3 linked regions of the Kluyveromyces lactis genome follow. The protein of the gene in region 2 interacts with the protein of the main gene of each other region in a biochemical or structural test. Links are inferred from orthologs where the notes say so. Each region holds a gene or a part of one and is shown on either strand. Other genes may lie near its edges. The genes, in order: HSP104, SUP35 and NAM7.

Evidence for each region.
Region 1: the proteins of SUP35 (region 2) and HSP104 form a complex in vitro, tested with the Saccharomyces cerevisiae proteins (7 studies listed by BioGRID, with this or other methods). The link is inferred for Kluyveromyces lactis from reciprocal best matches to the Saccharomyces cerevisiae genes SUP35 and HSP104.
Region 3: the proteins of SUP35 (region 2) and NAM7 form a complex in vitro, tested with the Saccharomyces cerevisiae proteins (2 studies listed by BioGRID). The link is inferred for Kluyveromyces lactis from reciprocal best matches to the Saccharomyces cerevisiae genes SUP35 and NAM7.

Annotation. Positions count from the first base shown.
Region 1 is NC_006042.1:1,667,007-1,671,175, forward strand, and holds HSP104 (chaperone ATPase HSP104), read left to right. Parts: upstream 1-1,275; coding exon 1,276-3,975; downstream 3,976-4,169. UniProt on the Saccharomyces cerevisiae protein: Required, in concert with Hsp40 (YDJ1) and Hsp70 (SSA1) and small Hsps (HSP26), for the dissociation, resolubilization and refolding of aggregates of damaged proteins after heat or other environmental stresses.
Region 2 is NC_006040.1:1,486,376-1,490,365, forward strand, and holds SUP35 (translation termination factor GTPase eRF3), read right to left. Parts: upstream 2,683-3,990; coding exon 580-2,682; downstream 1-579. Other genes in the region: ARG82 (inositol polyphosphate multikinase), read left to right, coding at 1-528; heat shock protein HSP42, read right to left, coding at 3,105-3,990. UniProt on the Saccharomyces cerevisiae protein: GTPase component of the eRF1-eRF3-GTP ternary complex, a ternary complex that mediates translation termination in response to the termination codons UAA, UAG and UGA.
Region 3 is NC_006038.1:566,656-570,805, reverse strand, and holds the start of NAM7 (ATP-dependent RNA helicase NAM7), read right to left. Parts: upstream 2,899-4,150; coding exon 1-2,898. Other genes in the region: MBR1 (Mbr1p), read right to left, coding at 3,382-4,150. UniProt on the Saccharomyces cerevisiae protein: RNA-dependent helicase required for nonsense-mediated decay (NMD) of aberrant mRNAs containing premature stop codons and modulates the expression level of normal mRNAs. Also capable of unwinding double-stranded DNA and translocating on single-stranded DNA.

The sequences.
Region 1 (4,169 bases), on a different chromosome or scaffold from region 2:
GGAAGAAGAGAAAAAGCAAAAGGAAGATAAGAAGAACAAAAAACATAGTGACAAGAAGAACAAAAAACATGATGATGATGATGAATACTCCGAAGCTGAACCTTCAGTGACTGAAGAAAAACGTGTTGAGACGAGTTTCACCAAGAAACCACATCACACTACCTCTGCTGCATTGAAGGAAGGTTACAAAGAGGTAAAGAACGAAACGGACACTGAATGGAAAACAGATGACGGTCACTACAATGGCACTGAGACTGATCATTCTACTGCCCTAAATGATGCTTATAATTGGAAGAGAACTTCGTCCATAGGCTCCATTATTGCTTTCATGATGTCCTTGTTAATTTGATTCAAAAACGAAAGATCATCACGCACATGAGCTGGAATATCTAGTTATACATATGTAGATCTTACAAGGAAAATAATAATATGTTGCTATCCAAAACTTGACACAATGCCAATGATATTGTCTTAATTAACGTGAATTACAAAACTGACGCCTGACATCGAAACAGAAGTGCGTTCCAAAAACCTAGCGTTAAATTTCAAAATCTATCACGTGATGGTGATCCACTTGTTCCAGTTTTTTTCTTCGGTTTTCTTTGTGGACATGCACTTTCGAGAGTCTTCCAGAAAAATCCGGTAATGTTCTAGCTATCACGGTTCCGGACTCTAGCTTAGAGCAGAGTGAATTTTAAGTAGCTTTACAATCCCCACACAGCTTCTACATTGCCGTAAGCAACATGCTGGGATAGCTGGTTGTTTGATCTAGTATTCAACTAACAATAAGGACGTACTTACAATTTTCTATTTTACGTAGCCATGAACGTCAGTCCCAACGGTAATTTAAAAGCTTAACCTTGAGTGAGTGAATTATTCGAGAATGTACTGGTTTATACTGGAAAAGTAATGTAGTTGTTAGAGCTTTGTTTGTCTGTGAATTGGGCAATACTAAAGCTGGGACTGGTACCGGGAGATAGGGGTTGAGGTATATTTTGCTTTGCTATTAGTTTTCTTAATAAGGTGATTTTAGGGTATCTTTTGATAGATGCTTATAGAAAGAATAGGTGAAAAAAAAAGTTTATAGAATATAAGCGTAGTGAAGAGGTATATAAAGGGAGACCATCCGAAGAATCATTTGTTGAGTGCTTCCTGCTTTGGAATTCAATTACATCAATTGTATCAATAGTGGTCTATCTGATAGAAATAAACAACAATTGTCAGGATCATCAAACGCATCAACAGTTTATTGTCTAGAAAGAAGATATTACTACAATGAACGACGAAACACAATTTACAAATAAGGCCAACGAAATTATCCGTTTGGCCCAGAAATTGGCTCAGGATCACAGACATGCTCAGTTACAACCAATTCACTTACTTGCTGCATTTGTTGAGCCAAACGAGGATGGTTCTGTTGGATTCTTACAAAACTTGGTGGAATTAGCGAAATATGATTATGAACCTTTGAAAAGGGCCATCAACAGAAACCTAGTCAGGACTCCATCTCAGACGCCCGCACCATTAGAAATTCAGCCAAGTTATGCTTTCGGGCAGGTCTTGAAAGATACTTCAGAAATTAGGAAACAGCAAAAAGATTCATTCGTCGGTCAAGATCATATATTGACTGCTTTGTTCAAAGATGCAACAACTCAAAGCATTTTTAAGGAGTGTTCCATTGACATAGAATCTGTGAAGCAGCAGATGCTCGAATTGAGAGGCAATCAACGAATTGATTCAAGAGACGCTGATACAAATGAAAAATGGGAATATTTGAAGAAGTATGCGATCGATATGACTGAACAGGCTAGAGCAGGTAAGTTGGATCCTGTTATCGGTAGAGAAGAAGAAATTAGAACTGCCATCACTGTTCTTGCTAGAAGAATCAAGTCAAATCCATGTTTGATCGGTGAGCCAGGTATTGGTAAGACTGCCATTGTAGAAGGTGTTGCTCAAAGAATTATCGACGATGATGTTCCACAAATTCTACAGGGTTGCAAATTATTTTCTTTGGATCTTGCTGCATTGACGGCTGGTGCCAAATATAAAGGTGATTTCGAGGAAAGATTAAAAGGTGTCTTGAAAGAAATCGAGGAATCAAAGACTTTAATTATATTATTCATCGATGAGATTCATATGTTGATGGGCCAAGGTGTAGATGATTCTGCCAATGCTGCTAATATTTTGAAACCAGCCTTATCTCGTGGTGGCTTGAAGGTAATTGGTGCCACTACCACTAACGAATATAGATCTTTGGTCGAGAAGGATGGTGCTTTCGAAAGAAGATTCCAGAAGATTGATGTCCCTGAACCAACGACAAGGCAAACGGTAGCTATTTTGAGAGGTTTACAGCCAAAGTATGAAATACATCATGGTGTTAGAATTCTAGATAGTGCCCTAGTGTCTGCAGCTCAACTAGCTAAGAGGTACTTGCCATACAGAAGATTACCTGATTCTGCTATTGACTTGGTTGATATTTCATGTGCCGGTGTCGCTGTTGCTCGTGATTCTAAGCCCGAAGAATTAGACAATAAAGAGCGCGAATTGCATTTACTACAGGTTGAAATCAAGGCATTAGAAAGAGATGAAGAAACGGATCCAACGACAAAAGAAAGGCTACAACAAGCCAGACAAAAGGAAGCTTCATTAATTGAGGAATTGGAACCAATGAGACAGCGTTACCAACAGGAAGTGGATTCTCATGAACAACTAAGACAAGCCAAAAAGAAGCTCGATGAATTGGAAAACAAATGCATGGATGCCGAACGTCGTTACGATAATGCTACCGCAGCTGATTTGAAATACTTTGCTATTCCGGATATCAAGAAACGTATTGAGGAATTGGAACAAAAAGTTGCTGAAGAAGAATCCAGGGAAGGTTCTGAAACAATGGTGAAGAACGTGGTTAACAGCGAGGTTATTGCCGAGACTGCCGCTAGAATGACCGGTATTCCAGTGAATAAACTAACTGAATCTGAAAACACAAAGTTGATCCATATGGAACGTGAGTTATCGCAACAAGTTGTGGGTCAAATGGAGGCTGTGAAAGCCGTTTCTAACGCTGTCAGACTTTCTAGATCTGGTTTGTCTAACCCTAATCAACCGGCATCTTTCTTATTCCTAGGTTTATCTGGTTCCGGTAAGACTGAATTAGCTAAGAAAGTCGCATCCTTCTTGTTTAATGATGAAAAAGCTATGGTCAGAATCGATTGTTCAGAATTGATGGAGAAACATTCAGTTTCGAAATTATTAGGTACTACTGCCGGTTACATTGGTTACCAAGAAGGTGGTTTCTTAACTAATCAATTACAGAGAAGACCATACAGTGTGTTGTTATTTGATGAAGTCGAAAAGGCCCACCCTGATGTCTTGACCGTTCTTTTGCAAATGTTAGATGACGGCAGAATCACTAGTGGTCAAGGTAAGACAATTGACTGTTCGAACTGTATTGTAATTATGACTTCTAATTTGGGTGCCCAATTTATCAATGCTCAGACTGGATCAAAGGTTACTGAGGGTTCCAAAGAGTTGGTGATGAGTGCCGTTAAAGCACATTTCAGACCAGAATTCTTGAATAGAATCTCAAGTATCGTGGTATTCAACAAGCTTTCTCACAAGGCCATTCACAAAATTGTTGATATCAGAATCAAAGACTTGGAGAAGCAATTTGCGGATAATGATAAGAATTACAAGATCAACGTTTCACCACCAGCTCGGGATTTCTTGACCAAGAATGGTTACTCGGAGGATATGGGTGCTAGGCCATTGAACAGATTAATTCAAACCGAGATTTTGAACCCAATGGCAATCCATATCTTGAAGGGTGAGATCAAAGACAAAGAAATTGTCAATGTAGAAGTGGGTGCCGATGGATCTCATTTAGAAGTTTTACCAAATCACCCAGCTTCATCAGAAATTGGTGATGAAGACATGGATTTGGACTTGGACGACGATGACGACTTAGACCTAGACTGATCTAAAATGAATTACAAAAAGAAAACATACAAACAAACTCACTCAGTAATAAAATTTCAGTTCAACAGTACCATCATATATAGTGTAAAGTACATATTTTTTTCACTTTCTTTAGTATAATATTTTGACTTTTACATGTTTTCATGTTCATAAGAGGTGCAAACCAATGGTGCTGCTGTTATTCATACAAGCGT
Region 2 (3,990 bases):
ACAAATGTCCAAGAACTACACTCGAAGTATTATGAACCGGAAGATGATGGGTATATTTTTGTCAATAAATATTACGGTCGTGAGTTGACAGCTTCGAATGTAACGGACGCATTTGATTTGTACTTTGGCGATAATAATCTTTCACTCCAAAATCGTAATGATTTGATTCACATGTTTTCAAAAAGGCTTCAGCTTTTCTATAATACGCTATTGAATGAAGAGGTTCGCATGATATCAAGTAGCCTTCTATTCATATATGAATGCGATACTACTCGGTGGATCAACTTCTCTCAGGAACAAGAATTAATACCGTCCCATGTATCATATGATTCGGATGAGGAAGGGTCCATTAAAGATGGACAGTCAAAGGAGAGCATATCAGGAAAGACAGAATTGAGTCGCATGTCGATAATAGATTTTGCACATACCAAATTTACCCCAGGATTAGGAATAGATGACAATGTACTTGACGGGGTTGAAAGTCTTATAGACATTTTTGAAAGATTAAAAACTAAATATACAATCTAGACTAGACACCTAGTAAATATGCATTGTGATATGGATTCATAAAAACCGAGATCAATTTTCAAGGATTTTCACAATCTTACCGATAGCAATGGTGGTACCTTGATCTCTTAAAGTGAATCTACCCAATTGTGGGTAATCATCGTATGTTTCAACACATACCGGTTCATTAGTCTCGATAACGGCAATGATCTTCATACCCTTTTTAGCAAATGCTGGAGGCTTCTTTGATTTTCTGTTTGACCCCTTCTCAAGCTTGTGAAGCAATCTTGTGACGGTGACTTCTTCGATAGCTGTATGAATATGCATAACGCACGAGAAACCAGCAGACATGATCGATTTCAATTCGACAATAGCAATTTGAGCCACAAATCTCGTTACATTCTTAACTGGGTTTTTTGGAGAGGTTAGAACGAAACCAGCAGAAATTTCTTCTTCTTCGACACCTTTAATTCTTAATCTAACCTGCTCACCACAAACAGCCATGTCAACTTCGCTTTCAGTTTCGTTATAAATGGTCAGAATTTCAACAGAGGTCCTGTTAGGCATTAGTAAAGTTTGGTTACCCTTTCTAATGTGTCCAGATTCGATTTTACCTTCCACAACAGTACCCATGTCCTTCATCTTAGAAGCAATTGGAAGCATGAATGGAGCATTGATATGACGATCAGTAGTCTTCATATTGTCAAGATATTCTAATAAAGATGGACCAGTATACCATGGACAGTCCTTAGGATCGACACGTTCCTTCAAACCTGCACCTGTGTAACCAGACACTGGCATGAAAATGACGTCCTCCTTAACATTGTAACCCACAGCCTTCAAAAAGTTTGTCAAGTTACCAACACAGTGATCATATCTTTCCTTATCCCATCCCACAGTTGGATCATCCATCTTGTTGATAACTACAATCATTTTGTTGACACCTTGTGTCTTGGCTAATAAAGCGTGCTCACGAGTTTGACCACCCTTTTCGAAACCAGTTTCATATTCACCCTTTCTAGCAGAAATAACCAAAATACCAATATCGGCTTGAGATGCACCACCAATCATTTCAGAAACATACATTTTGTGACCGGGAGCATCCAAAATAGTGTAACGTCTCTTTTCAGTTTCAAAGTACGCTCTACCCACTTCAATGGTTTTACCGTCGTTTCTTTCTTCTTTGTTGGTATCCATCACCCATGATAAATACCAACCTTGTCTACCAGCCTCTTTAGCCTCTCTCTCATATTTCTCAACGGTTCTTTTATCCACAGAACCAGTCAGATATAACAAGTTACCACCCATTGTTGACTTACCAGCATCGACGTGACCCATGAAAATGATGGAAACATGATCCTTACCACCAAACATATCTTTAACGACTTCTTCGTCAACCTCATCTTCTTGTTCCTTGATTAGAGCATCCACGGAGTTCGCTCCTCCTGTAGATGTGTCTGCCTTAGCGCTGGTAGTCTTCTCTGAGGAAGTATCATCAGCAGATGGGGTATTCTCCTTAGTTTTTGGTTTTTCAGCCTCTGAGATTTTCAAATCATCAATTTTGGGCAATTCAGATTGTGCTTCTTCGTTGTCGTCGGTAGTTTTAGTTGCTTCCTTGGATTCATCAGTTTTCTCAGTTTTGGGTGCTACAGGTTTCTTGGCACCTACTAACTTAATACCAGAGCTAGAGGCCAACTTTAACTTAGGCTTTGGCTTGGCTGCATTAGTACTGCCTTGTTGGTTTTGGAAATCTTTCAAAGTCATACCCTGGGATGAAGACTGTGCTGGAGCAGCGTAACCGGTTGGCTGTTGTGCATTATATCCTTGAGCACCTTGATAACCCTGCTTATTATAGTTATTGTAACTGTTTTTATTATTATAATTTTTATTGTAGTTATTGTTGTGACCGCCTTGCTGAGCGTTGTAACCTTGTTGCTGAGCATTGTAGCCCTGGTAAGGTTGGTAGCCTTGAGCTTGTTGAGGGTTGTAGCCCTGGTAGGCTCCTTGAGGCTGCTGTCCATAAGCTTGATATGCTTGGTAGCCTTGAGGAGCACCTTGTTGGCCGTTGTAGCCTTGATAGCCCTGTTGGTTGTAGTACTGGTTGTACTGGCCATATTGGTTATACTGATTGTAACCTTGGCCTTGCCCTTGGTCTTGATTTTGTTGGTCTGACATGTCTACTAGTAGATGCTATAGACCGGTACCTTGTTCCAATTTAAGCTTGCAAATAGAGGGCAATTCGCTGATGGGAGGATCATGATGATCATCAGTAACGCTTTCTTACACTTTTCGATCTTCTCTATCAAGCTGTTTAAAATTTTTTGCAATTAGCGATGATGTAATTTTATACGACTGCATATATTCCTAAATAGACTAACACCATTGTAGCGCCCAATACGTAATATGGCATCAATAACCTGGTGCAACCGTTCCGTTCTTCCTCTATGTAACTGTATAAAATGAGGGTGCTGGTATTCGTGTAATATTAATATTATACATAAGCGATTACTAAACATGAGATCTTATTTTAATTCATAACAATTGTTCATATAAATGTTTGGCTGAACCAGTTTTCCAATGTGAAGCCAGGGATGATTTCATAAATTGCGAGGAGCAGTCTCAAACACAAGTTCTTCATCTGGTACATCTTCTATTATAATTCTTTTCTTTGGTTGTGGTTTATTAGCATCTTGTGGAATTTTTGGGACTTTGATTTGAAGCAATCCGTTAAAGTACGATGCTTTAATCTCTTCATCTTTAATTCTCGGTAAAACGGGGAACTTGACAGATCTTTCAAAATCACCGTATTTCAATTCTGAGATCTTCACGTACTTTTTATCAATCCCGATCTTGTTGTCGACAGCACCTTTGATCAGTAACTCGTGCGATGAAGGATGGAAATCAATTTTAAACTCCTTCGAGTTCGCACCAGGTAATGCCAATACAACAACGTACTGTTCGGGAGTATCATAAACGTTAACTTCTGGAGAAAATGGTAGATCAAGTCTCAATTCTGGGTTTGAAACTTGCAAAGGTGCAGGAACCGGAGATCTGAAACCGCTGGGCTCGTAAGCTAGTTTATCCTTTTGGTTTACGTCCTTTTCGCTGTCAACGGAGGAAGTAGTCTTATTCAACTTTTGTTGTTCCTCATTATTGTGCATGTTATAATCTTCGTTGTACTCGTCAGAAGCGTCTTCTCCTTGCTCTGCTGTTTCCTCGTCTATTTGCTGATCATTACGTTCTTTTTCTTCCTCGGAATATTGATTTGCAAGAGCTTCTTCGGCTGCCGCAAGAGCAGCGGCTTGCTCCTGTTCATCGTTTTCTTGTTCATCATCAGTTGCTTGTCTCTGACTTTCTTCATCAGCATCCCCTCTGAAAATGTCGGAATTACCACCGGCCAAAGCACTCAAAAGAGCCCCAACTACATCATCACCAGATGTTGGTCCAACAGCCCTTCTAGAAGCTGTTGTTGGAGCACCGGTC
Region 3 (4,150 bases), on a different chromosome or scaffold from region 2:
CAAACTCTTGAGTATGTTTAACGTTGATTCTTCATCAATGGTTTGATACTTTGAGCCCACTCCATTGTACTTCCTTAAGCCATTGGATAAACTTCCATCAAAATTGACCGCGTCTTTATCGTATTGGTTAACAGGATGCGTAGCACTTAAGCGCGATTGTGTATCAAAAGACTGTCCATTCCAATATTGTTGGTTCAATAACGAAGACAAGTCCGTGTTTGGAATAAAAGATTTTTCAACGACGTTTTGGCCACCGAATGAGACCAAACTTTGAGTGTCAAAGTCTCTCTGACCAGCATATTGTGTATAACTACTGTTGTTGGATGGGGCTTTCCTGGGTGCCCTAGAAGGTTTCGTCAATTGGACTGTGCAGAGTTGTAAATTATCCAAAAACCCTTCAACAAGACAACCCTTTTCTCTGAAATGAAGTAGTAGATGACTCCATAAGCTATTGCGAGATAGTGCCCTTGGGTTACCCAATATTATTAGACCGTATTTAGCACGAGTCAACGCAACATTTAGACGACGTGGGTCACTCAAGAAACCAATGGTGTTTCTCTCATTGGCACGGACACAAGACAAAATAATATAGTCTTTTTCTCTACCTTGGAAAGCATCTACTGATGCCACTTCAACGCCCATGTACAATGATTTTTCCATCGAACCATTCATTTGCATATATTGTACAACATATGCTCTCTGCCCCTCATAAGGAGTTATAACACCAATCTGTTCTGGTTTGACACCATCTTTGAATAGTCTTGTAATGATCTTTTCACAGTTCATGGCTTCAATTCTGTTCAAGTAGGAAGTACCATTGCCTGAGATCTCTTCACGACCATAGTTAGCCCAAAACATCATAGGGATAGTATGAATTGGCCATGGAAAGGTAGATCTTGCAATAGTACGTTGCTCGATGGTGACACCATTCTGTAAACTACCTTCGTAGAACATGTTGCTTGGGAATTCGCTTAATTGTGGATTCATTCTATATTGGACTTCCAATCTAATAGGAATGTGACCCAAGGAAATTAATCTTTCAAACAAAGATTGTTTCAAACCAGCGTCACCAGCTTTTCTATCTAAAATGACAGGACCAAGTTGCTGATGATCACCAACTAGAACAACTTGTTTGGCTCCCTTGACGATAGGGATCAAACATTCAGGTTCTGACGCTTGAGTACTTTCATCGATCAATACTGTGCGGAACTTATAGTCCAATCTTTTATCACCAGCGCCGACGCAAGTACAGCAAATAACATCAGCTTTTTGAATGATGGTAGCTTCTGATTTTCTCACTAACTTCACAAATTTCGTGGTATCCGATGAGGAAAGTTCCCCTGTTTTTTCCTTAAGATTGAGAAGTTTTTTGAGTTTACCTTCTGCAGACCTGCTGACCAAGTTATGCAATGCTAACTCGGACACTGAGCTCTCCACATCTTCTCTACTTTTAGCAGTTAATCGTACTACCTTTAAACCCATACTGTGCAACTTGGCAGCAAGATGATCCACTGCAACGTTAGATGGTGCACAAACTAAAACACGCTGTTTGTGGATTTTAGACAAATGATAAACAATGGTAGCTGAAGTGACGGTTTTACCGGTACCAGGAGGTCCCTGGATCAATGATAAAGGTCTTTGTAAAACATGCTTCACAGCATTACTTTGAGATTGGTTTAACTCGGTGAAGTGAGGCACAAAAATGCTTTTGGGTAATTCTACATCAAATTCCACATCTGGAACCTCTTGGCCCAATATCTTATAATACAAGAACCCTGATAATGATTTTTTGGTGACAGCAAATTTTCTTAACGCTTCTTGCATTCTAATATAAGAAGTTCCCCTCCATACAAAAACTGCTGTAAATCCTGTAGTACAATTAGTTGGTGGAGTTTTTTGACTTGGTTTCAATTCAAGAGTAAATTCATCTTTGAAACTGTTTGGTAGCTGGATGATGAAACCTTTTCCTGTCCAATCTGCATGTTGTGGACCACTATACTTTAAAATCATCTCATCACCAACGGCAACTTTTAATTCGTTAGATTCGAATGTGGATAATGCAAAAGTAGCTAGATGTCTGTTGTTCAATGCTAAATCCCATGTGACAGAGATGTGTTCTAAGGCCTGTGATTCCTTTAATTGCTTATCATAATCTGCTTCTAACTGAATCAAAGGACCAAATGATCTTTGGTACTGATAAGCATCAGTGTATCTCATCAAAGTCGGAGGAATATCTTCATCTTGTTCGACCATATCAATATCCATAATTGTAGCGTTTTTGTTTGATTTCCATCTTGCTTCCAATTTCGTAATTTGAGATGGAGTAATCATCCTGGCCTTCAACTGATCTTCTTCACTTGGTTCTTCTGCCACCCAAGATAGCATCTTCCTTTCTTCAATAAGTGGTTGCCAGTTATCTGTATCCCAATTAACATTCTTCATTTTAGCACAAGGCAATCTGCACAACAAGACCACAACAGCCTCACTCTTAGCCGGAACAAAACCAAGAACAAACACATTAGTACGTCCACAATTGTAGCATTCCAAAGTAGTATCTCCTAGCTCTGAGTCTGGATGTAATGAAACTGAAGAATGATGGGATAAAACTAAATGGTTCACAATATGGGAACTATTAGTACCATTTTTCGAATTACAAAACCATTTGCTGCAAATGTTACACTTGACAACACATGAAGTATTATCAATACCACAATATGCACAAGCATGTTCCGCAATAGGATCTGTATTAGCAGCAGTGCCGTGGAACTCAGAGTATTCCTCGTCCAGCATCTCATCAGTATCGTAGAAAAAGTTTTTGTCGTCATCGTCTCTCAAAGAAACAGATTCGTTTGAGTCCGAATCTGAATCAAACGGTTCATTTGGCAAACGCATCGTCATAAGGAAACTTGATTCTAATTGTACTGAGATAATAAAGGCACCAGTCGTGTACAATCTACTTCAAAGAATAGCTTTGAACAGAATAGATCGAACTAACCAAAAAAAAAAGTTCGCAAGAAATGAGTCAGAGTCACAAATCAAAATATGTTACTCAGCACATTGATAGATGCTCAATTTACAGAACTTCTTGAAAATACAGATAAAGTGATATAGGAAATAATAACTGTTGAAGCATATTATGATTAAATACTTTTATGTATGGAAGTTGATGCATTTTCTGATGAGATGTGAGATGAGATGTGAAGTACACAAACTGAAAAAAAAAAAAAAGAATCAGCAAATGCATGCAAAAGTCGGGTAATTAAATAGTGATTAGGTGACAGTCTATGTCCTATTACGTTTATATATTTGATGCATGAGGGTATACTGATGATTATGATTGGGGTAACTGAGGGTGGTTGAAGACTGGGGTTGTGAATTTTATTATGAGAAACTCTCTGATAAAGCCTGTTCAATGAAAGACTTTCTTCTTTTTCTTGCGTCCAAAAATGGTGGTGGATGTGAAGATGAATATTGGTTAATTGATTGAGTTCCTGACGGTATTTCTGGTATGGTTCTATTAGTGTAGGTGTTTGGATTGGCAATTGTGCTATTTGAACTTTGAGGTGAAGTTCGTAATGACATTTTTGCCAACGATGAAGAGACGGTGTCTTCTGTTCCATGAGTTGAAGCTTCGTCTGACAATTGTTTTGACTTATCAAAGAAGGATTCCGTCGCTGAATCCAATTCAGAACTTACGTATCTCTCCAAGCTGTATAAGTGTGTTGGAATGGCATTTGTAGATAAGCTAATGGACGATCTTGATCCATTGGAAGATTTAGGATCTATTGCGCCCTCGTCAGTGATATTAGTTGGGGATCCAAAAGAGAGACTGTTATTATTTATGGTATTGTTTGTATCTAGACATCCAACAGAAGAAGCAATGCTCTGTCTTGTGGGTTGTTTAGACAATGGAATGACTATACTGTTTGTCCTTGAGACTGGGTTTGAATCTAGCGAGAAACTGTATCCATTGTAAGAAGCGGACGATTTCGATCTAGGTTTCCTTAGCCCGTGGCAGTTCGAACATACCACACAACCACACTTTGATGGTGATCCAATTTTCCCCTTCAAAGAAGTATCTCCACGCATCATATTCGAACGGAATGGGTTCCCTCCAAGCTCTACCTCCTGAAACTCTTCTTCATTATCA